Linked DNA regions of Nothobranchius furzeri. The protein of the gene in region 1 interacts with the protein of each later gene in a biochemical or structural test. Links are inferred from orthologs where the notes say so. Each region holds a gene or a part of one and is shown in the gene's direction. Other genes may lie near its edges.

Region 1 (5,852 bases):
GGGCACTCCCACTCAACAGTAGCTACTGAATAAATGGCAAATGTATTCTTCTGTGCTAAATTTAGGTACTTTCCTAAGGAAAAGTCCCTGTTATAAGCTGCAAAGCCCCACTCCTCCCGCCGCTGCTTCTCTATCAAACTGTTTATAAAACATCTCCAAATTCACAAACTAATAAGATGAATAAAAATTAAAGTTGTGGCTGCATCCTCTGAAAGTACAGATTTTTGTCACTTAGCATGGAAACCAGGAATTTAATGAAGCAACTTTTTGTTAATGGCATCTAGTTGTGAGCGGAAGCATGGACTGTGTTTGGCTCCAAAGCAGACCTGAGGTTTATGGCAAGCCATTTTAATTTTTAGTCAACAACCACACCTGTTTATAATTCCTGTTTTAATCAATCCTAGTCCAGATTGTACTATTACTAGCCACAATTGAAAATAAAGATATCACCAGGTTTTTGGTTTACTAGCATAAATACAATGTCTAAAACCTATTTGTTAAAAATAATTAATAATACTTTATTATCAATTATTTGGTCTGCAGATGGAGGGAAGGTTGGAATCAAATATTTCAGTAATGAGTGGTGAGTCAGGAGATTATTTTAGATTACTAGATTACATGGTTATTACAAAATGCTAGATTACATGATTACTAAATGCTAGGTTACTGGATTACATGGTTATTGCTAAATTACTTGATTACATGATTATTTCTAAATGCTAGATTACTTGATTACATGGTTATTACTAAAAGCTAGATTGCTAGATTACTAGATTAAATGGTTATTACTAAATGCTAGATTATTAGATTACATGATTTTTACTAAATGCTAGATTATTAGATTACATGATTATTACTGTTAGATTACTTGATTACATGGTTATTACTAAAAGCTAGATTACTAGATTAAATGGTTATTACTAAATGCTAGATTATTAGATTACATGATTTTTACTAAATGCTAGATTACATGATTACTAAATGCTAGGTTACTGAATTACATGGTTATTGCTAAATGCTAGATTACTTGATTACATGGTTATTACTAAAAGCTTGATTGCTAGATTACTAGATTAAATGGTTATTACTAAATGCTAGATTATTAGATTACATGATTTTTACTAAATGCTAGATTATTAGATTACATGATTATTACTGTTAGATTACTAATTACATGGTTATTAATAACCACGTCTGCCAGACTTTTACGCCGTGATGTAAACTAGCTCCTGCGGCGTAGAGGAAACGTGTTAAATACGTCAACACGGTGGATTTAATAGAAGCTTTAAAGAACAAATTCTGGACGGTGTGAGGTGAGTTTGTCTCACTGCAGAAATAAAAACACACGGAGCGTCAGCAGTCAGGCGCAGCCGCTCACCAACACGTGTGTGTGTGTGTGTGTGTGTGTGTGTGTGTGTGTGTGTGTGTGTGTGTGTGTGTGTGTGTGTGTGTGTGTGTGTGTGTGTGTGTGTGTGTGTGTGTGTGTGTGTGTGTGAGCGTCAGAAGGCTGAACAATAACCTGTAGAATAATTAAAGTCATCATGCCAGAGCAGTGGTGGACCACACCAGTTTCTGCCACAATAAATAATTATAATAATAATAATAATAAATAACATATTTTATTTCCTTTCTGAACTGTTTCTGTTGAGTTTTAATGTTTAAAATCTGTTAGATTGTTACTGACAGCAGCTACATTTAAGTTTCACTTCCTGTTGTGACTGAATGCTGCTGCAGCATGGAGGTGTAGTTCTCAGTCATCCTGGACATGATCATCCTGAGAGTTTTAGCTGAACACAGCTGCACGTTTCTGGATGTGTTGGGAGACATTCAGCCTTACTAAATGCTAGATTAATTGATTATTAAAAAATGCAGGAGTGGGATTTAAAAATAATCTTCAAAGAGCTTCTAGAGCAGGAGCAAAACTTTAAAATGATAAAATGTTGTTTGTATTTAATTTGTTCCTGTTTTGTGGAATATTAAAAATAATATTCATAATGTTCTGATCATATTATTTTGCCTGCGGTCCGTGTCAAATGACATGATACTGAGAATATTGTTTTAATTGTCAAAAAGTCCGGCGAACCGACCTGGACCTGGGGCTTTGAGTTACATTTTTTGTATGAAAAGCGCTTTATAAATAAAGTTTAATTTGATTAAAATTTTCCCGTTTAATCCGATTAATCGAGTCGAGACCCCATCCGATTCATCGATGATCCACATAATCGTTTGTTCCAGCCTAGTAGACAAAAGCTGGCTGAGCTTTTGGAGACTCTGAACCATCTCATTTTATTAATGTCCTCCCTGTTCTCTCACTGCCATGCGTGTCCTCAAACTCCACTTACTCACACACACACACACACACACACACACACACACACATGCTCGCAGCTCTCCTCCCAGCTGTGGTGACAGCTCCAGTGCAGAGATGTTTGCTGCTCAGAGGACACACACACACACAACTCTGTTGTCCTTTCCCACTGAGCGGGAGCTACAGAGGTTTACTGATGTTTAAACGAATCACGCATACAGGAACCTCCGCTGGCTGATTCGGTTGGTGAACTTCAGCTGGCCAGTCAGTCCGTATCATCGCTTCGGTCCCAGTCGGACCTCCAATGGCGCCTACACATTAGAGTCGGTATGGTCGGGGTTTGGTGGGGCTGGATGGCGTGCGGTCGGTCTGGAACGGGCGGTGTAGTGTCACATAAATCTGAGGGACTTCTCAGGAATGCGGAAATCCCTGAGCCTGTGGGCGGAGTTTAATCCGCTGTGTCCTCCATTATAAGGTAAACAAAGGTGGGCTTGAGCTGTGTTGTTTTTGGAGACTCTGCCGTGTGTGTCCTCATGGTCTTGTGACACACACACACACACACACACAGTTCTTGTGGGTTCTGCTATCTGATACTAGTTTGCTGATTCATACCCACTGATAGAACACGTGTTTTTTTGCACGTGGAGCGTCGGGGCTCGTGCTGTCTCCTAACTATTGTCTTGTGTGTCAAATGCAGCTGTCAGAGGAGTCCCTCCCCAGGTCCCAACCATGTCGTCTCCATCAGCAGCAGCAGCAGCACCTCAAACTCCGTCTCTGCCCCCTCGACCACCTCAGTAGCTCAACCCTCCTGCTCCTTAACCCCCACTCTTGCTGTCCACTTCAGTGAGAACCTTATCAAACATGTTCAGGGGTGGCCTGCAGAGCACGCAGAGAAACAGGTCAGAACCACCTGCAGCGTAGCAGCTGTTGTTTTTCTCAGGAACTGGAACACAGGTAAAACTTGTTTGTGTCAAATCTCAAAGGCCTCCAGACTACGGGAGGAGGCTCACACTATGGGCAGCATCTGCATGTCTGAGAACTGCACTGAGCTCAAAAACCTGCGCTCTTTGGTCAGAGTCTGTGAAATCCAAGCTACGCTGCGTGAGCAGAGGTGAGCGGTGTTCTTCTGACCTCCGTTCTGACTGTGGCAACGTTCTGGATCTAACTCTGGGTCTGTCTCTGTCCCACAGGATATTGTTTCTAAGACAGCAAATCAAAGATCTTGAAAAATTGAAGAATCAGAATTCCTTCATGGTCTGAGAACCGAAGTGTCCAGTTGGAGGGGTTTTTGGAAGGGAGGCCCGTTGCACATAGGTTGGAAGATGGAGAGAGCAGTTCCGTTCTTCTGGAACCCATTCTCAACACACACACACACATCTAGGAGTTTAAGTTGGGATGGCTTGAATCTTTGAGCCAGCAGACCAGAACAGGTATTGTTGTGGGAGGAAGCGGGGGAGGGGCAATTTACAAGACTTAGTTTTGTAATTACCTCACAGTGAGACAATTGTAGATTTCTTGTAGATGTTATCAATGTTGTAAATATATTTTGTAGATGGGAGCCATGGAAAGCCATGCCTATCAAAGCTTTTGACGTCCAGACTAATCAGCTACTAGGCAGCTAGCCGTGAGCTAGCCCGTCCTTCATGTTAACTCATTTGTTAGCTCCTGGATGGTTGAACCTGTGGGTCAGTGAGTGACATGCCTGTACACAGAGGAAGGTCCTGATGTATGCAGAACACACACGCCGACCTCAGTGCTGGTAGATGTTCGTTCGGACGTGGCAAACACCAGACGGTCCACAGTGGTTCAGGGATCTGCTCGCAGCTTCTGGTGGCCCTGCATCACCCGGTCAGGAGAGCGGTCTGCCTGGTGGTTGGTGGAGTGAGGCATGATAAAAACAGGAATGTGATGGCGTGCTGCTTTGGACCATTCCCACTCACCTCTCCTGGCTCTGCCCTGCCTGCCACGCATCTCCCGATGCGTCCCGCCTCTCTTCTCTCAGTTTGTGTTCCCTCTGCTTCTTCCTGACTTCTCAATCTAAGGTGGATCATTCCTTTGTACAGTTGCTAACATAACAGTTGAGTTCTAAAACAAAGAATAAAAGGGTTTTATTTATAAGAGTTGTAGTGATGCACAGTAATTCACAATGATATCCTCACATTTACCAGCGCCCGGCTAAGGAGTGGTATGTGGAGCACTTCTTAGTCCGCGTGGGGCGACAGGAGGTCATAGCTCAAATGTGAAATGTATGTATTGTAATAAACATATTAAACTGGAGCGAGCACTGGTTATTTTATTGGTCCTTATGCTAGTGCCTTGTTGGAAGACTAAAGCCTCACCTGCAGGTTCTGGGTCTTCTTTAATTCCAACTGATGAGCCTCACATACACCTGACCCCCCAGTAATGCCCCTCACCAGCAGGGACCGTTCAGCTCCTGCCCCATAACTACTCTTGACCTAAACGGCACCACACATTCAGGCAAGCTTACCACATCATTGCTTTGTATATTGTTTCCTGAAGTTTATTGACAAATGTAATAAAATATTCCTGTCCAAGTTCATGTTTGCGATGGTTCCTGTGTGAAGTTTCATTAGGAGGGCCCAAAATGCAGTCAGGTACAACCCTAGTCTTTCACCTTACCAATTTCATTGGTTGATGAAAGAAATCCTTCCAAGTTAAAAGTTTAAAGACCTTTAATCTGCTCCAAACTAAAAACGGTGTCTGAGCTGAATCATTTTGGTCTGATCACAACAGAAAATCAAAGAAGATTTCTAACAGCTAGGGAGAAAAGTCCACGAGTCTTGAACTTCAAAAGATAAATGACTTGTATAGCGCCATCCAGAGTCCGAGGACCTTAAAGCGTTAAACACCACACCAGTGTTTACCAGCCCTGGTCTTTAGGGCACACTGACCTGCATGTATTCCATGTCTCTGCTTCAGCACACCTGATTTACATCGGCTCCTCAGGAGAACATCAAGTGCTGCAGATGCCTGTTAATCATTCATTCAAGTCGGGTGTGTGCAGCAGGATAACGTGTTTGAAAGGGCAACATGCACGGTGCCCTGAAGACCAGGGTTGGGAAACTGCTCTACAGTGTATCATTCATCCATTCACACGCTGATTGGGATGAGCTGCAGCTGCCAAGGACGAGCACAAGCAGGCAAGATGGGGTAGAGTTTGTGCCAGGAGCCGGGATCGATTATATAACTTTCTGATTACTGGACAATCCGCTCTACTTCCTGAGCTGCTGCTGCCCTAAAGGATTCCTGAGAGGTGTGTGTGAGCAAAACCTACTGATGTGGAACCTGTACCACTCAAGATTTTTCATAAAATCAGACGTGTGTGGCATGATAATGAAAATATAATTAAACAAATTATAAAACCCCAACAGGTGGACTGGAAAAGTCGAAAGTAATCCCACATGATCTGTGTTTAATACTATGCTGGTTGTTGCAACTGTAGGTTGCACCAAAACAGGATAGTAACCAATACCCACTCTGCGTTGACTTTGGGAGTAAGGAGACCCATCCAATATGGCGGCAA
Region 2 (5,800 bases), on another chromosome or scaffold:
ACAGCGCTGTTGTCTCTGAAAAAAAAACACTGATATAGATGAACTTTTTGAATTTAAAACAAAGCCATTGTTATTCAGTTTGAAAATCTCTTTCTTAGGATTCGTTTGAAAAGTCACGTTTGTCGTTTTATATGGTTAAATCCGATTTTCCACAGCCGATTCCGATTTGGCCACTTTATTATGCCCACATGTTCAGTATCTAATCAGCCAATCACATTGAAGCAGTCGTCTAGATGTGGTGACGGCAAGTTGAAGTTCAAACAGAGGATCAGGACAGAGGAAGAGGATTTGTAGTTTGTGCCATCAGATTCTGATGCTCTACTGTGATTTTCGTGCACAATAACAGAAAATGGTCCCAGAAAAAGAAAGTATCTAGTGAGTGGTAGATGAATTGATGAACAGGCAGACTGGTTCCAGGCAACAGTGGCTCAAATAACCACTGATTACAGCCCAGATTGGTATGGTTGTAACCAGTAAGGGTGGTTCAGAAGGACAAAGGAGGGTCAACCCAGCACTAGAAGCACTTTGTGATTCTATGTCTGTGATAAGTGCTGTATGAATAAAAATTGCTTACTTCTTATTTACTAGAAAGGCACCAAATAGAGCTGCCAGTGAGTGTGTGTATTTAAATGATTTGTGCTTCAGATTTCAAAACGCGTTTTAACGTTTATTGGAAACTGATGGAGAGTGTGTCGATTTTAGAGCTCACCTGGTCTCCTTTTCACTCAAGGTAACTTTTTCAGTGAGGTAGTCAAACAGCTCTCCTCGCCTCATGCTGGGGACAAAAACAGACCCGTTGGTGCTTCATTGTTTCGTGTTTTCCTTAAGTAAACATTATTGTATTTTGGCTCCTTTTCTCCATACTCACAGGTCAAACACTAGGAATATGAATGTGGTGGACTCGTAGGAATCAATGAGGGTGACTACATGGAATCAGACAAACACAAACCAGCATTAGGTCTTGGTATACAGAAAAAGACAAATATTCCTGGAGCGCAGAATGGCAACATACTGATGGAGGGGTGTCCCTTCACCATGTTGAGGACTTGGATCTCCTTCAGGGTGGAGGTCTTCACCTCCTGCAGCTGCTGGGCTGTCATCTTCTCCGCTGTGATCTCAATAATCTTCACTGCCAGCTCTTGACCTGTGTGTCTGTGCACGCACCTGCGTACCACACTGCTCACACCCCTACAGCACCACACCAGTTCAAAAGAACATCATGTTCTTATCACCAACCAGGCATGGAGGATGGAGTGTCATGCTGCCTGACTGGACTTACCTGCCGATCACCTCCTTGGGGTCATACTTCTGGTAGAATTCCTTAGCTCCCACCCAGTCCGGTAATTCATCTCCGACAACGATGTCCTTGGTCATGATGAAGCTATAGCAACAAACTCCGTCACATGTCAAAGTACAGCTTGTTTACCATGAACTACTTGAGCTAACTCCTGATAAGGGGTTCCCATTTCGTTTGGTTTGATTCCAAACACAGACTATACCTGTGACTTTTTGACAACACCTCAGAGTTTAAACACACAAGAAATTAGCTTTTATCCTTTATATCAGTAAGGTGAACTCGTCTTTGGTCTGGCCTTGTGTAGCAGAGGGCTCACTGACTGGCCGAACAGGAAGCTACTCACCTAACAGCGAGAAGGGGAAGGAGACGGATCCCGAGTTAGTGTAGCGAAGCCATTAAATAACTCGAGCTGTTTATCGTGAAGTCACGCCGGATATCTGCTAGCATAAACCGGAGCGTTATTTACAGTTTGGTAAAATTCCTTTGAAGTCGTTTGAAACCGGTTCATATCTGAAGTAGCAATACTGCCCCTGTGTGGTGGCAGAGGAGATTGCGGGATCAAGATATTTCTTAGTTTTTAGACATTGACGCAATGAATCACTCAACCGTGAGATATTTTTGAAACCATGCGTAGCAATAATTTTAATGTAATTTTTAAATGTTATTCTTTTTTTTTAAATCGGTGAATTTGTTCAAAACCTCACAAAGTTACATTTCAACACTAGGTGGCAAAAGAAGCTCTGCAAATTAAGCGTAGAAGAAGAAGCGTTGTCGTCATTTCCTGTTGCATTATGTTCTGAATTATATTTTCGGTCGTTCCTTGCGAAGGTGCGTAACGTTCAACTTTTGTCATTTGTTGCATTTCTGTAAATGATTTTACGTAGAAATGATTCTTCATTTAATGATAGTTAGTAAATAAAACAATACTCCACCGTTATTTGCTGTGTTGGACAAAGATCGCTGTCCTGCTAACCGAGAGTTAGCATTAGCAAAATAGTTAATTTTAACAAGAAAATGTAATGTGCTGTATTTCTTTTAAAAGATGGCTAATAATTACAAGGAGGCATTATACACTCCTGACTTCTACTAATACGTAGCTGTAAATGTTGTACCTGCCCTGCGAAAGTAACGTTCACACGGGTTCTAACTGTATTTATAATTTGTTTAATTCCGTAATCTCTTCATGCTGCCTCCAAAAATTAACGTTGTTTGAACTTTTTATGAAGGCTAAGGAAAGATGTCAGGTGCTGGGGGAGGAAAACGTCCTTCTGGAGGGGATAGTCCCCCTGGTCCACCTGAGAAGAAGACCAAGAAGGAGGAGAAGACCACCACCACACTGATCGAACCAATACGAATCGCTGGAGTCTCTTCAACGGTGAGTCCCTGCAGATTTACTAGTTAAAATATTTTGAAGTGTGTTTATTACTGTGGTGTACTTTAACACGTAAAGTGTCTTATATTTTGGGTGTTTTTGTTGATGAACTACAGGAAGAAATGGACATGAAGGTGCTCCAGTTCAAGAACAAGAAGCTATGTGAGCGCCTGGAGCAGAGACAGGCCATGGAAGATGAGTTACGAGAGAAAATCGAAAAGCTGGAGAAGAGACAAGCCACTGATGACACCACCCTCCTCATCGTCAATCGCTACTGGACTCAGGTACATTAATCGTTGGATATGGCTGGGAAAAAAGCTTTAAATAATCCCTTACTTCTTTATGCTTTCTATCCAATCAGCCAGGTTTTCTTTTGTGTGCAGCTTTTCTAAAATTTTCTTTAGACTTTTACTGTTTTTTTCCACTCCTTATCTGTCCAGTCCTCATACCTGATCATGGCAGGATATTGTGCATTGTGAGTTTAGAAAATGATGAAGTATAAAGACATTAATCACTTTATTAATCTACTAGATTGCTCTGTTGCACTTTGTAGAAGAATCACATTATTTGTGTATTTTAAAGCTGTGGTTCCCAAAGTTGATGTTGGAGTTGAAAATAATAGTAATGCATGTTTAATATACTGTGTTTAAGCTGTGTTACATTATACACTTGTTTGAGACCTGTTATGTATTATTATATAATGTTAAGTGTTGTGAACTCTGGAACTGCGCTGCTCTGGGTGGCTGCATGTTGGAGTAGCTCTGTTGACTATTTGTAAGTTTTGCCTTTTCGTGGACATTTTTTCTTCTAGTTTCTCAAGAAAAACTGTATTTTTTGGACATTTTACTTTTCTGTTTCTGGTGCTGTGAAGCTTGGAGGATTTTTACTGCTATTTTTCACTTTTTTCACTTTTTGAACATTTGTTATGATGCGTAACCATGGCAACACACTGGTTTACAATCGGTAGCAGCTGATTAACATTGGAAAGGCTGAAATAATACCTCAACTGAAGCCACAAATCCCAAATGAGCTATAACGCAAGAAGTATGGATGCAGAGCGGGAGCAAAACGGAGACAGAGAAAGAGGAAATTCAAACCATCTCTTCCATTTATCATAATGGGCAATGTGAGATCACTGGCCAACAAAATGGATGAACTCCAAGCCCTTTGAAGGACTCAGCCAGAGTTTTGGCAGTGTAGTGTTATGTGTTTCAGTGAGACGTGGCTGCAGGACCATATCCCCGATTCCAGCGTCTCTCTGCCAGGATTCCTGACTGTACGGGCAGACAGAGATCTGAGCAGGAGCGGGAAAAGAAAAGGAGGTGGAGTGGCAGTGCTTGTCAACAACGGATGGTGCCATCCAGGTCATGTTTCGGTGAAATGTCGTCTCTGCAGCCCAGATGTTGAACTCTTGGCAGTAGATGTGGAGGTGGTTGAGGAATACAAATACCTTGGAGTTCACCTGGACAACAGACTGGACTGAAGAAAGAACAGTGAAGCCGTTTACAAGAAGGGACACAGCAGACTGTACTTCTTGAGGACGCTTAGGTCCTTCAATGTCTGTAGCAAGATGCTGCAGATCTTCTACTAGTCTGTTGTTGAGAGTGTAATCTCTTCATCCATCGTCTGTTGGGGTAGTAGCATCAGAAGCAGGGACCTGAAAAGGCTCAACAGCCTAATAAAAAAGGCTGGTTCTGTTCTGGGGACGACTGTGGAACCGCTGGAGGAGATAATGCAAAGAAGGATTCTCCAGAGAATCAAGAAAATTATGGACAACCCTGAGCATTCTCTTCACAAGACTGTCCGACAACGGAAGAGTGTCTTCAGTCAGAGGCTTCTTCAGTTTCGCTGCAACACTGACCGCTACTGGAGATCCTTCCTGCCAACAGCCATTGTAATATACAATAACTCTTTGATGACTTGATTATTATTATTATTCTGAGCTACTACAGCAATCAATTTCCCTCTGGCATTAATAAAGTATTTTAGAATTTAATTTAATTGAAATTGATGTGTGTTATGCTTCTAAAACAGTAACCATTCAAAATATTCAAACTTTGTTTGTTCTGTTTTTACTTACAGCTGGAAGAAAATGTAAATATTCTGCGCAAATATATTGAGCCAGAATCAACAGCAGCATCTGCTCCTGCGCCACCTTCAGCCCTCCCCGATGCTACACCCACGGATACCATCAGCCTGGCATCACCGTTGGTTACAGTGCCTCCACCTCCTCTGCCGGAGGCCCAGGGTGAGACTGAGCTCACAGAACCGCAGCAACAAGAGAATCAACTGGAAGACCATCAGGAGGTGCCACATCCTCCTGCTAGATCAGAGGAGTTACTAACTACTGTGGAACCGCCACAGGATTCAAAAACTGGTCAGCAGCTTTTTATTTTGTTTTCTAAAACGATTTTTTGTTGAAATTTGCTCCTGCATTGTGACATTCTTTGTGAATAAAATGTAAATGATAGTGTTCACGGCTTTGTTCGCACCTAATATCTTGTGAATCTGCATTCATCAAAAAAAGTGACATTTTTGTAATGAGCTGCACCAGGGCAGTGATTTAGGTCGTAATGTGGAGTTCTAGCTTGATTTGCTTTGTTCATAACAACTTAATATTATGTCCAGACACATCACCGCCTCCCCCTCCCTTAAGTGAGAATGCTAAGGGCTTTTTGACCATGCTGGAGCAGAGCAGCGAGGAGGAGCTTTCATTGCACCTCCAGGACCGCATGCTGTTCAGCAAAGAAGCCATCGCCCACTTGGTGCAAGTCTTTGACAGGCTGCACAGTCGCATCGACGACATGTGCAGGGCGGTCCAGGCTGCAGGTACCTAACAAACCTCTAATAACACATACATAGGAGGTAAATGTTGCAACTCATTCATTGATTGAATAAATGTTATTCTATGCCTGGATAAGCTGTTAAATTAGTTGTTTATCTTACGACTACAGGACAAATGAGTGTGGTTTTGACAGATGTTAGTTTTTGTGTATTTGTGTAACTGTTATTTATGATTAGTGGCAGAGGACGACAGCCAGGCTGACATCAGGCTGAACCGCTCCCTGTTGGACGAACACATCCGACTACGAGACCATGCCAACCTCCTGCAGGGACGACACCACAAAATG
Region 3 (5,934 bases), on another chromosome or scaffold:
TTGTTAATTAATTATCTAATAATTCTAATGTCAATAACCACATGGAAAACCGCGCACAAGGATGAAAAGTGCTGAAAGTGCATCCAATTTTCTGCAAAGAATCAAGATCAATTTCTGAGAATGAGCAAAGTCCTGCAGACTTACTTTAGAGGTGTTTGTCAAACAGCGGCAGCAGAATAATGACAGATAGACGCTGTTGCCTCCCAGACGAGATCAGACTGATGAAGAAGGCAGAAAGTGGGTGAAAGGCCGTTTTAATGGGGCGGCGGAGGTGGTGGGGGAGGGGCCGGTGATGTGGCGGGGGGAGGCGGGTGTTGATCTGGGAAGGCCATTGGCCCCAGCCACGAGAAGAGGGGCGGTGCGTATTTGTTGTTCATATCAGGATCTGATGATCAAACTAGAAATCATAGTGAAGGGAACGGTTCAGCTTTGAAAGCAGCTCTGTCTGCTTCTGCAGCGCTCAGGCTGCAGAAATGTTGCACTTCAGGTTTAGTTCTCCTAAAGAAAGACCGGGCATGTTCACAAGCAAATGCCACTTTCGATATGAGTTATTTATATGTCGATGTTTACAGCAGCTTCTGTTTTTATTATCACACAAACACGTGACCAAATTTTTCTTTTCCTCCGGTAGAAACCCTATATATATATATATATATATATATATATATATATATATATATATATATATATATATATATATATATATATATATATATTATATATGCAATTTCTGCATTATTTTCCAGAATTACAGTTTAAAACAAAGGAATAGTTTTACACTTTATATCATTATAGCTTTAAAAATGTGTTTTTGCACACAGACTAAAGGCAACAATAATTTGTTTATTTTTAACTAAATCACTTTTTTCTAATCTTGACACAGTTATTATTTTCATATGGTGAGTGTGTTGTTTATGCATTATTGTATTTTGTGTTTTTAATGTTGTTTAATGCTTATATTTTAAATGCATTTTCAAATCAACTTTAAAGTTTCTTAGATCAAACCTTCATATAAGCTCCTGAGCTTTTTGCCTCTCCTTGCATCCAATCTATTTTTTTTTCTTATTGTGTGTGAAACTAAACCCATCATGCATAAACATAGTTTAGTAAAACTGAGCTTTGTTGCACCCCACGTACTCAGCATATGACAGCAGATATTAGGTCTTGGACCCTACGGGTTGGGCTTGATTTGTATCTTGCAAATAACGACAAGACAGCATTTACACAACCCGGACTCTGCACCTTGTCCAATGTCATTTTTAATATTGCAGACCAGAGTTCAGTCTTTGTGCGTGCCTTTATTTTTGCACCACCTTTTGAAAGTGAGTCAAGCACACAATGGTTGTCCTCTGAAAAGGGCTGCTTGCTACAACAAGTCAGTGAGTTGGTTATTATAAAACTTGCGTGGGACAATTTTTGGTTTGGATATTTTAGTCAGTACAATGAGGCAAAATCCTACAAGCTGTACATCTATCTTCCCTGCAGCTGGCAGCAAACAAAAGAGGAGTAAGGTCCATAAGACAACATTCCTGAGATTATGGATGGAAATCTTCCAAGTTTATTACAACTATCCTTTGGCCTTAGTATTTATTTTTAATTCTAGAGAAGATAAAATATGTTGCGACTATAGCAGCGGAAGTATTTTAGACATTGTGGGAGAAAACAAATCTTCCAAGGTGATGTGGTTTGTATGTGGCGGCCTTATCATGCAGATGAGTCCTGGACTTTGGTTAAACTCTGAAATTACCAAATAACAAAGCTAGATAAATTAGATAATGAGTTAACAAATATTCTCTGAGTTGCTTTCAAAAATAAACAGTCTGCGTCATCTACTGTGCAATAGCTTGTTTGCCATTTGAGGGTCAGCCTTCAAATGGCTGATGATGAGGCAAACAAACAATTTAAAATATTCTATAGCAAGGTTATTTCAGAATTAAAAATTGTGTAGTTTAAATATCTTTTTTAGATGTGTGTATGTTGTCCTCAGCCAGGGTTAAATACACATTATAGCATTATAATGGGTGTTGATGCTTGAAATCTGTGTTTCAGATGCAAATAAATCATCTGATGATTCTTGACCATCTTTTCTGATCAGTTTATAAGCATTAAATCGTAAAATGCTGCAGAGTGTTTCACACTCCGATACAGCAGGTGGTGCTTTTGCGTCAGAGCGCGTGCTAAAGCGGGTCCTCTGGAAACCGTTGCCACTTCCGTTTCCGTTAGGCAAGAAGCCGCAACATCAACATTTACTGACACATTTAGTTAATAACTCTTACATTTAAAATTGGTAAGATTTCAGCTAGGCGTTGTCGACGCAGGTCCACAACGATGTGGTCGCATTAGTCTGTTGGTTCAGGATTAAAGCTGGTCAGATTTTCGGCTAGCTTTAGCAGATGGCCAACGTTAGCTTAATTACTGATTTCGCTACTTCAGTCTTTAAAATGTTAAAACTGGTCATATTTGTTCATTTATTTGAGAACGCTTACTATATTAGATCGTTGCAGTCGAAATACATACTTTAAATTAATCCCCTAAATCTGATCTACAATATACTATTTTATCTTTTTAGGAGGATGTCGGGGCAGAAACGTCCCGCTGACCCCTGCGGATCGTCGTTCTCCGGAGCCCCGCCTGAGAAGCGGAGGGAGCGCGAAGGAGAGGACGGAGGTCCCGGTGTCAGCGCCGCGGCCGGTGGTAGCACAGCGGTGGAAACGGTCATCAAACTGGGAGGAGTGTCCAACTCCGTGAGTCTCACTACTGCAGATTACTAATCTAACATGTATTGGTTTTATGGACACACGAGTAATGTTCTTCCAGGAAGAACAAGACATCAAGGCTCTCCAAGCAAAGAACCGCAAGTTAGGTGAAGCTCTAGATCAAAGACAGGTGAATTTCTAATCTTTATTTCAGATCAACACCCAAACACAGGATTCTCCAGCAGAACTGTGACATTTACTCTTGGTTTGTTTGAAGGTGATTGAGGATGAGCTGCGAGAGCGAATTGAGAGACTGGAGACCCGGCAGGCCACTGATGATGCCAGTCTGCTCATCCTTAACAGATACTGGAACCAGGTGAAGAAGTAGAAGAAAGTATCCTGGATTATTTGTCCTTAGAGTCCAAGTGTGACATTATGCTAATTTTTTTTCCAGTTTGATGACAATATTCGGCTCTCCGTCAGGCGCTATGATGGAGCAAACGGCGAACCAGAGAAATCACCCTCAGGTGAGGGTCGGAGCCTGAAGCCAGAAACCCCAGAACCTGATGGAGACTCCAACCAGGAGAGGGCCAAAGACCGAGGTAATGAGACCTGAAATCTGAACATCATAATGATATTTTTAAAAAAGCAGAACCTTAATAAAAATTGTATGTCGCTCAGGTCATCAAGGAGAGACCTCCAACTCCTTCCTGGCCACACTGGCGAGCAGCACCAGTGAGGAGATGGAGGCAGAGCTCCAGGAGAGAGTGGAGAAGAGCCAGAAGCAGGCCAGTCATGTTGTGGAGATCTACAAACATCTGAAGAGCAGCGTGGACCAGCTCAAGGCAGAGCTGGACTCTGGAGATGGTGAGGAAAAATAAATAACCTGTGAGATTTAGAAAGCTGTGATTATAAATAAATGTTGCCCTGGAGAAAAATGTCAACCAGTTTGTGCTTTTTACGGATTGATTTGCAGATGGGAGTTTGAAGCAGGTCACCTCCAAACTGAATTCCCTCCTGACACGTGAAAACGAGCTGCTGCAACAGCTGACTGAAGACCTGAAGCAGAAACACAGTCACATGACCAGCGAGGTAAATCATAGTTCCTTTCTTAGAAAGTTATCTCGAGCCAGAATCGGTCAAATAAACCCCAATCAGGACTTATGTAGTCTGTTATTACAATAGAATGTCAGTAAACTCTAAGGATCTCTTTTAACATGAATATCAAATTGTTTTTGCTTGTTCCTTTATTTAAAAACGAATATCTAGTCATTTATATTTTTTATACAAAGCAGTTGTTTAGAGAGCGTTAAGATCCTGTGAGCTCTGGTCCTCTCTGCAGTCGCGGTCTCTGGGTCGGGCAGCGAACAAAGCGGATCAGCGCGTCGGCGAGCTTCAGGTTCGGATCGAGGAGCTCCAGTGGGACATGGAGAAGATCCGTCGCCGAGAGAACAGACTGAACGCACACCTGAGCGAGGTCCTGGAGAGGGTGAGAGCGATGCTAATAACTGTCATGGCAGCACGATGTGCCTGTGGAAGTGACTGTAACACCACCCGTGTTCTCCAGGTGAACAGTAAAGGCTATAAGGTGTGTGGAGAGGCCAGCAGTGTGTGTGGAACCATCACTATTAACAAGAGAAAGGTACACTTTCTTTTGCTGTTATTTTTGTCATTAGGAATTATTTTAGGGGTGTTCTGTAGGTTTTATGGTTTTGTTTCAACTTTTATTTTGAAACTAGTTTGAGGACATGAACAGTGAGCTGGAGGAGAACACGGAGCTGGCAGAAAATCGCTCTGTTGAGCTGCAGAAGCTGCAGCAGGACCTGCAAAATGTCCAACAGGAGAACAACAACATGAAGGTACCAGTGTTACGTCAGCTCCACGATCCCAAATATTCAGCCATATTATCATAAACTCAGAGAGGCTACAGTATATGAGTGCAAATTAACATTTCTGCCCCAAAATATTCCTGGCTCAATTTACTCGTCCACAGAAAAAAATTGCAAAATTAGTCAATTTTTTCAATGGAGGGACAGAAAAATGACTTTTTTTTTCTTGTCTAACTTTCTCAACTTGCAGACGGAGCTGCTGAGTCGAGCTGAAGGTTTCGTTAAAGAGACCTCAGAGTATCGCTGCCTTCAGTCCCAGTTCTCTGTGCTTTACAACGAGTCCCTGATCCTCAAAGCTCAGTTAGATGAGACACGCGCTCGCCTCAACACCACCCGGACGGCACGGCTTCGGCAGCTGGACCACATGGAGGTGTGTGTGTGTGTGTGTGTGTGTGTGTGTGTGTGTGTGTGTGTGTGTGTGTGTGTGTGTGGTCGGTGTGGGATTGTGTGTTTTCGTCTCTTGCTTATTTTCATCTCGCCTGAGTGCAGAACGATGAGGTGGCTCTGCAGAGGAAAGTACGCACCGAGGTGTTTCAGCTGGAGGACACACTGGCTCAGGTGAAGAAGGAGTACGAGATGCTGCGCATCGAGTTTGAACAGACTCTCGCAGCCAATGAGCAAGCAGGTAACTGGCGTTTCTGATCAAATAAAGTCCTTCCTTGATCTATATTGTCTAACTCCCCCCCGCCCCCTCCTAGGTCCCATCAACAGAGAGATGCGTCACCTGATCAGCACGCTGCAAACACACAACCAGCAGCTGAAGGGGGAGGTGGTGAAGTACAAGCTGAGACTACGAGAGGCTCAATCTGAGCTCAACCAGGTACGTCACAGTGAACGAGGGAAGGGTCATCATCATAAATATATGCTACTGCTTGTATTTGGGCTGAAAAAGTGTAATCTTCTCGTCGTTTAACACGTTCATTAACTCCGATGACTACTCTATTGAGCGTTAACACTTCTTTATTTTGTCCTTTGGAAGTCTATCGCTCTCTTGCTCTAAACACAGCTTTAAAACCTGCGAACGTGCATTCTGCGTGTATCCATTAATCACGATACGAGATACGAGAGAAGAAGTTGTGAACCCGTGGGTGGAAAAATACATCGTAAGAATACATTTCTGTAATATGATTTCAGTGTTTCCCTTAGGAATTTTTCCAGCTGTGGCGGTGGGGCCGGTGTCGGTACAAGATCTGCTCGGGTGCAAGATCGGCTCGGGGTCCGTCGGCTGCCGATGACGTCAAAGTAGTTGATTGGCTGAACATGGACCTTACGGAATTACGTAATCACGTTACGTTGTTATCACGTTACGTTGGTCCAGGCAAATCTTTCTGTTGGAAAGATGGACAACT
Region 4 (5,953 bases), on another chromosome or scaffold:
GAGGGTAGATGAGAGGTCCTGCGTCTCTTGCAGCCTTGAGGACTTGTGACGTACGCGGGATAAGTTAAGAATATTGGCTCAAGTTCATTTCTTCATATCGGGGTTGCGGTGTCAGACTGTCCTGTATGAAGGAGTTTGGCCTGTAAGTTAAAAGTTAACGTCTGGTCATTTTGATGAAATTGCTACATGTGTGTGATGGAGGTTAAACATGGTCAGCTGCTGAGGTCTGCTGCTCTCTTCCTGTCTGACTTCTGTTCATCTGGAGGTTTTTGTTCAGCCTGCAGAGATCATCTCTCTCTGTGGAGACCAGATTTCTGACAGCTGCAGTAGTAGGAGGCTGCATGTTCCTGTTGGACTTTTATGGTGATCGCATTACAGCCGTAGTCTTCTGTATTTGCCATAAAATGATCCTTCTGGGGATGGTTGTAGCATCTGTTCATGGTTTTGTTAATGAGATCGATGCATAGGATGACCCGAAGAGGATGCTGCTCCGTGTGCTGGTACCAGTGAACTTGCTTGTTGTCACACGCTTCTGTTCCTGAACACTTTAGAGAAACTATATGATCATCTCTGGCAGTATAAGATTACTGGTCCTGAGTTAGCACCTCTGTTGCCATGGTAACCAGCACCGTAGGGACACAGACAGACAGGTGAAGGTTTGTTCCAGTTGGGGTGTGCTGGCTCCTGATTGGCTGGAAACACTCACCTGAACATATACAGCACAGAGCAGCAGTTGGGAAGAAAAGCATTGTGTTCAGTGGTGTTTCCTCTGGTGAACCTGGGGAGAAGTGGTGCTCTGATGCAGCTGAGGCCAAACAAGATCAGACCAGGGCCACGTGGTTTTACCAGCTCCTCAGCTCCCATCAGCCCCTGCTGCTGCTGGTGCAAACAGGAGCATCTGTCGACTGATAAGCGAACAGCAGCTATTCCTGATTAGCTTTTGTGTGACGTAGCTCATTCTTGTTATTTCCTGTTATTGTTTTAAATTACTCCAAACTCTAACTCTTCTTTTCCAATGACCCATAAATCATGACTGTGTGGAAAAAACTTCAAGTAAAAAAAAAAAAACCACAAACCTGAAAGTGAGTTTTCTCTTTATATTTTAACTTCTGATATTTCAAAAGGTTCCCGCAATAAAAGCTCTGGTCAACAACGATTCTGCATATTTCTGACAGGGTTAGATAAAAAAATAAAAATATAACACGAAAAATAATTTTAGAAAATAAGAAAAGAATGAAAAAAAAAATGCTCGCAAAGTTCTGCAACAGTTATACATGTTTTAATTTAGCATTTGTTTTGTTTTAATTTTAAACTGAATATTTGGAGTTTCTTTTCGTCTTTTTCTGAATGAATATCACAACTTTTAATAATTAGCCTACCTCAATTTATTTATATAAAACACACACGCAATCTCTCATGATGCTTTTCTATTATAAATGTTTCCTGTAACAGGGTTAAAGAATTTCTTTTCTGAAACAAGGTTTTAGTCTGCCACCTGGTGGTCAGTTTTGTGTAATACAAGATCCTTTTGAACAGAGATAATTAATCTTCAAACCCTGGAAACTTCATTCATTCATTCGCTCTAATAAACTGGATTTCATCATTAGTCAAATACAATACGAATAATACATTTTTATCTTAAAGGTCAATGAAAGGTCTATTCTACTATGTTGTGATACTTAACTTAAATTAAAAAGGTTTAATTACAGAATTCCCGTAATTCTGAATGGAGTTCAGCGAGAGCTACATACAAGAAGCTAACAGCTAAGCTAATTGGGAAACTTGTGATGTAAGTTAGAAACCAAAAGCAGACTGGCCCTGCTCCACCTGCCGCCACTCATATCAACTCTGGCTGATGTAAATGTGCTTAAGTTCATTTACGGGATTGAAACAGAAATAAAAATCAAATGTATTCCTTTTATTTAGACTAAACATACAGAGGAGTTCGGAACTGACTTCCTTACACAACAAAACGTTAGTCCAGCGCGGTGCATTCTGGGAAATGTAGATAGCTGATTCACAAATCTACCAAATGAAATAAGACACCAAAAGTAATTGTTTCATGGATAAAAATTACCACGACCAAACTACAAGAGAGATAATAAAAATAATAGTTTTCAGTTATTATGTAAGCGGTGGGAAAACTGGGACAATTACATGCAAAAATAAACTACATTTCCCATCATCCAACAGCAAGCGCACGTACGTTGAGCAACAATCAGATGCTAAAGGAAAACGGCCGCTTCCGTGTTGTTCTTGTGTTATTCTGGACGATAATAGCTGAAATCGCTGCCACCCTTCACCCGACAGCGTCCCTGAGGGGTAATTATCATGCTATTGTGAAGCTAAAATACGTTTTCAGCCTCTCTCGCCCGAAATGTCGCTGCTGCAGAGCTCAAAGAAAAAAGACAAGCGTATTTTGTCTGGTACCTGCCCAGACCCGAAATGTCAGGCGAGGCTCTTCTTCCCCGCTTACGGCTCCATTAGCATCGAGTGCACCGAGTGCGGTCAGCGCCACGAGCAGAGGAACCTGCTGAATGTCGAGGAGGTAACGGATCCAGATGTGGTGCTCCACAACCTCCTCAGAAACGCCCTGCTCGGCGTCACCGGAGCCCCGAAGAAAGGGACGGAGCTGGTGAAGGTGATGGGGCTCTCTAACTACCACTGCAAGCTGCTGTCCCCGGTGCTCACCCGTTACGGCATGGACAAACAAACCGGAAAAGCCAAGCTGCTGAGGGACATGAACCAGGGGGACATTTTTGACTGCTCTCTGCTGGGGGACAGAGCCTTCCTGATCGAGCCGGACCATGTTTCCACCATGGGATATGGGCAGGACAGGTCTGGGAGCCTCATCTACCTCCACGACACTCTGGAGGAGATCAAGAAAGCCAACGGAAACAGAGAGTGTCTTATTCCAGTCCATGTGGATGGAGACGGGCACTGCCTGGTCCACGCTGTGTCCAGAGCGCTCGTAGGAAGAGAACTTTTCTGGCACGCCTTGCGAGAGAACCTTAAGCAGAACTTCAAACAGAACCTGGTCCGATACAAAGCCCTGTTTCAGGACTTTATCGATGCTGCAGAGTGGGAGGACATCATCAATGAGTGTGACCCTCTTTTCATCCCGCCTGAGGGCGTGCCTCTTGGACTACGCAACATCCACATTTTTGGTTTAGCTAATGTCCTCCACCGACCCATAATCCTCCTGGACTCCCTGAGCGGAATGAGAAGCTCCGGGGACTATTCTGCCACCTTCCTGCCCGGACTGGTGCCGGAGGAGCAGTGCAAGGGAAAAGACGGGAAGCTCAATAAGCCCATCTGCATCGCCTGGAGCAGCTCAGGCAGGAACCACTACGTCCCTCTGGTGGGAATCAAGAACACGGTGCTGCCCAAGCTGCCAGCCCGCCTGCTGCCGAAGGCCTGGGGTGTTCCCCAGGAGCTCATCAGGAAGTACATCAAATTGGAATCAGACGGCAGCTGTGTGATCGCAGGCGACCGCAGCTTGCAGGATAAATACCTGATGAGGCTAGTGAACGCCATGGAGGAGGTGTTCATGGATAGGCACGGCATCCACCCCTCGCTGGTGGCCGACGTGCACCAGTACGTCTACAGACGGACGGGGGTGATCGGCGTCCAGCCGGAGGAGGTGACCGAAGCAGCCAAGAAGTCCGTGATGGAGAACAGGCTGCACCGCTGCCTGATCTGCGGCGCCCTCTCAGAGCTCCATGTCCCCTCCGAGTGGCTTGTCCCAGGTGGAAAGCTCTACAACTTAGCCAAGTCCACACACGGCCAACTCCGACCAGACAAGAACTACAGCTTCCCCCTAAACAACGTGGTCTGCTCCTATGACACCCAGAGAGACATCCTCGTCCCGGACTACAAACTGAGCGCCCTCAACACTTGCAACTGGTGTCACGGGACATCCGTGCGCCACATCCGTGGGAATGGGTCAGTGGTTTACCTGGATGGGGACAGAACTAACACCCGGTCCCAGGGGGGGAAGTGTGGCTGTGGATTCAAGCACTACTGGGAGGGGAAGGAGTACGACAACCTCCCCGAAGCCTTCCCCATCACACTAGAGTGGGGGGGGCGGGTGGTGCGTGAGACGGTGTACTGGTTCCAGTACGAGACCGACCCGACGCTGAACAGCAACGTGTACGACGTAGCTATGAAGCTGGTCACCAAGCACTTCCCCGGAGAGTTCGGTAGTGAGATCCTGGTTCAGAAAGTGGTCAACACCATCCTGCATCACACCGCCAAGAAGAACCCAGACGAGTACAACCCGGTTTCTATCGACGGGGCTCATGCCCAGCGGCTCAACGACCCGTTGGAGACCCAGCCCACCGCAGACCCGCAGCCCCCCACCAAGATCATCCTGACCGGTCAGAAAGCAAAGACGCTGCACAAGGAGGAGCTGACGATGAGCCGGGCGGAGCGCAGCATCCAGCAGAGCATCAGCGAGCAGGCCCTGGTCTCCCAGAAAAGACGCACAGAGAAACTCAAGCAGGAGCAAAAGGGTCAGATCCGGGACTCTTCCCCTGGGGGGTCTCCAGAAACATCCTCCTTCTCAGCTCCAGCCACCCCTACCAAGTCCTCCTCCCCCTCTTCTAACAAGGAGAAGAAGATCCGTGTGACCACCAGCGATGGCAGGCAGGCCATGCTGACTCTGCCTGCTCACACCACCTTCTCAGACCTGCAGAGCAGCATCTCCAACCAGTTTGGCGTTCTTCCGGCCCAGCAGTGCATTCGTTATGGCTTCCCGCCCAAAGAGCTGGGTCCTCCGAAGGACGGCGAGGAGAACGAGCCGGTTGTGCTGCAGCATGGGGACAGGGTGACAGTGGAGATCCTGAGGGGCTCTGAGGACACGAGCCCCGCGGCCTCCATCACCAGAGCCTCCAGCTCACACTCGTCCCTCCACTCGGCCAAGAGCGACGACGCCATGATGTCCAGCAGGATGAGCAGCCGGGAACTCCAGGAGAGCATAGACCTGGAGATGTCCTCCCTCTGTCTCCTAGCAACCTTGATGGGTAGGTGGCATGTGGTCTGACAGGAACCGAGCGTCTCATCGTTACTGGACCCAGTCTGGGACGGCAGATCTCCGCTGTGGAGTTAAAATGCAGAACTTTGTTTTTGATGCTTTTTCATAAAGTTCTCCCACAAGGGCTGAACTTCTGCGCTTGTTTAACGTTTCCGATTTATGAAACATTTAAATCCTCTTCAGCAAAACTCTGGTTTAGTTTCAGCTCCGTGTTGCTTCTGTGCACACGGTGTCTCCGTGAGACATGAACGTGTAGACGAGGGCCGCACCACATGTCCAGTAAGAACAGGAACTTAGCTCAGCTCCCATAATTCCAGTTCATCTGGGGCCACAAACTAACCCGGCTCTTTAACTCCAGTTCAGATTAAGTTTCGGGATTTGCTGCAGTTTATTTTTATTACAACAAAAAGAACTTCAGGAATTAGTTCAGTTTTTCCCATTTAGGTAGAAAACTGTGGAATCAGACGATAAACCTGTGGAGGAGTTAAATATAAATAAAGTTGTTTACATCTTTAGTTATTTCCAGACTCACTAAAGCATTTTTGAATGAATTCCAGCTTTTTGTCTCAGATATGCTGAAAATGTTGTTTTCCTAGTTCCGATCTCCGGATTCGAAGTGAAGTCTTCCCGTATGTCGGAACATTTCAGAAACAAACTTCAGGAAAAACAGATTTTAACCACGTTTAAGTGAAACTGGAGCGTTTTATTAACTCTGTGACTGAATGATGAGAAGCTGGTTTTATTAGTCGTTCAGCTCTGGAAGCTTCATGAGCTGCAGGGAAACCGTCTGACACTGTGAGGTGTGTGTTCATATATAAAAGTAACACACGTTACCATTGTAACACACGTGTTCATGCCACTTGGGGCCCCAGACCCCCAGGTTTCAGTGTTACTGATGCACCTCTCCCACCTGCAGCA

The links. The genes of interacting proteins can lie anywhere in the genome.
Region 2: the proteins of waca (region 1) and rnf40 form a complex in vitro, tested with the Homo sapiens proteins (2 studies listed by BioGRID). The link is inferred for Nothobranchius furzeri from reciprocal best matches to the Homo sapiens genes WAC and RNF40.
Region 3: the proteins of waca (region 1) and rnf20 form a complex in vitro, tested with the Homo sapiens proteins (2 studies listed by BioGRID). The link is inferred for Nothobranchius furzeri from reciprocal best matches to the Homo sapiens genes WAC and RNF20.
Region 4: the proteins of waca (region 1) and vcpip1 form a complex in vitro, tested with the Homo sapiens proteins (2 studies listed by BioGRID). The link is inferred for Nothobranchius furzeri from reciprocal best matches to the Homo sapiens genes WAC and VCPIP1.

Annotation. Positions count from the first base shown.
Region 1 is NC_091747.1:30,752,306-30,758,157, reverse strand, and holds the end of waca (WW domain-containing adapter protein with coiled-coil), read left to right. Parts: intron 1-3,005; coding exon 3,006-3,207; intron 3,208-3,291; coding exon 3,292-3,419; intron 3,420-3,498; coding exon 3,499-3,568; 3' UTR 3,569-4,868; downstream 4,869-5,852.
Region 2 is NC_091756.1:31,911,955-31,917,754, reverse strand, and holds the start of rnf40 (E3 ubiquitin-protein ligase BRE1B), read left to right. Parts: upstream 1-2,036; 5' UTR 2,037-2,125; intron 2,126-2,523; 5' UTR 2,524-2,534; coding exon 2,535-2,672; intron 2,673-2,785; coding exon 2,786-2,953; intron 2,954-4,751; coding exon 4,752-5,046; intron 5,047-5,297; coding exon 5,298-5,498; intron 5,499-5,690; coding exon 5,691-5,800. Other genes in the region: phkg2 (phosphorylase b kinase gamma catalytic chain, liver/testis isoform), read right to left, coding at 710-775, 869-923, 1,013-1,188, 1,280-1,374.
Region 3 is NC_091741.1:96,512,348-96,518,281, forward strand, and holds the start of rnf20 (E3 ubiquitin-protein ligase BRE1A), read left to right. Parts: upstream 1-2,170; 5' UTR 2,171-2,287; intron 2,288-2,569; 5' UTR 2,570-2,573; coding exon 2,574-2,744; intron 2,745-2,817; coding exon 2,818-2,886; intron 2,887-2,973; coding exon 2,974-3,072; intron 3,073-3,150; coding exon 3,151-3,298; intron 3,299-3,377; coding exon 3,378-3,563; intron 3,564-3,672; coding exon 3,673-3,788; intron 3,789-4,038; coding exon 4,039-4,185; intron 4,186-4,263; coding exon 4,264-4,338; intron 4,339-4,435; coding exon 4,436-4,555; intron 4,556-4,775; coding exon 4,776-4,955; intron 4,956-5,074; coding exon 5,075-5,210; intron 5,211-5,283; coding exon 5,284-5,405; intron 5,406-5,934. UniProt on the Homo sapiens protein: Component of the RNF20/40 E3 ubiquitin-protein ligase complex that mediates monoubiquitination of 'Lys-120' of histone H2B (H2BK120ub1).
Region 4 is NC_091751.1:35,191,887-35,197,839, forward strand, and holds the start of vcpip1 (deubiquitinating protein VCPIP1), read left to right. Parts: upstream 1-2,189; 5' UTR 2,190-2,377; coding exon 2,378-5,024; intron 5,025-5,953. UniProt on the Homo sapiens protein: Deubiquitinating enzyme involved in DNA repair and reassembly of the Golgi apparatus and the endoplasmic reticulum following mitosis. Necessary for VCP-mediated reassembly of Golgi stacks after mitosis.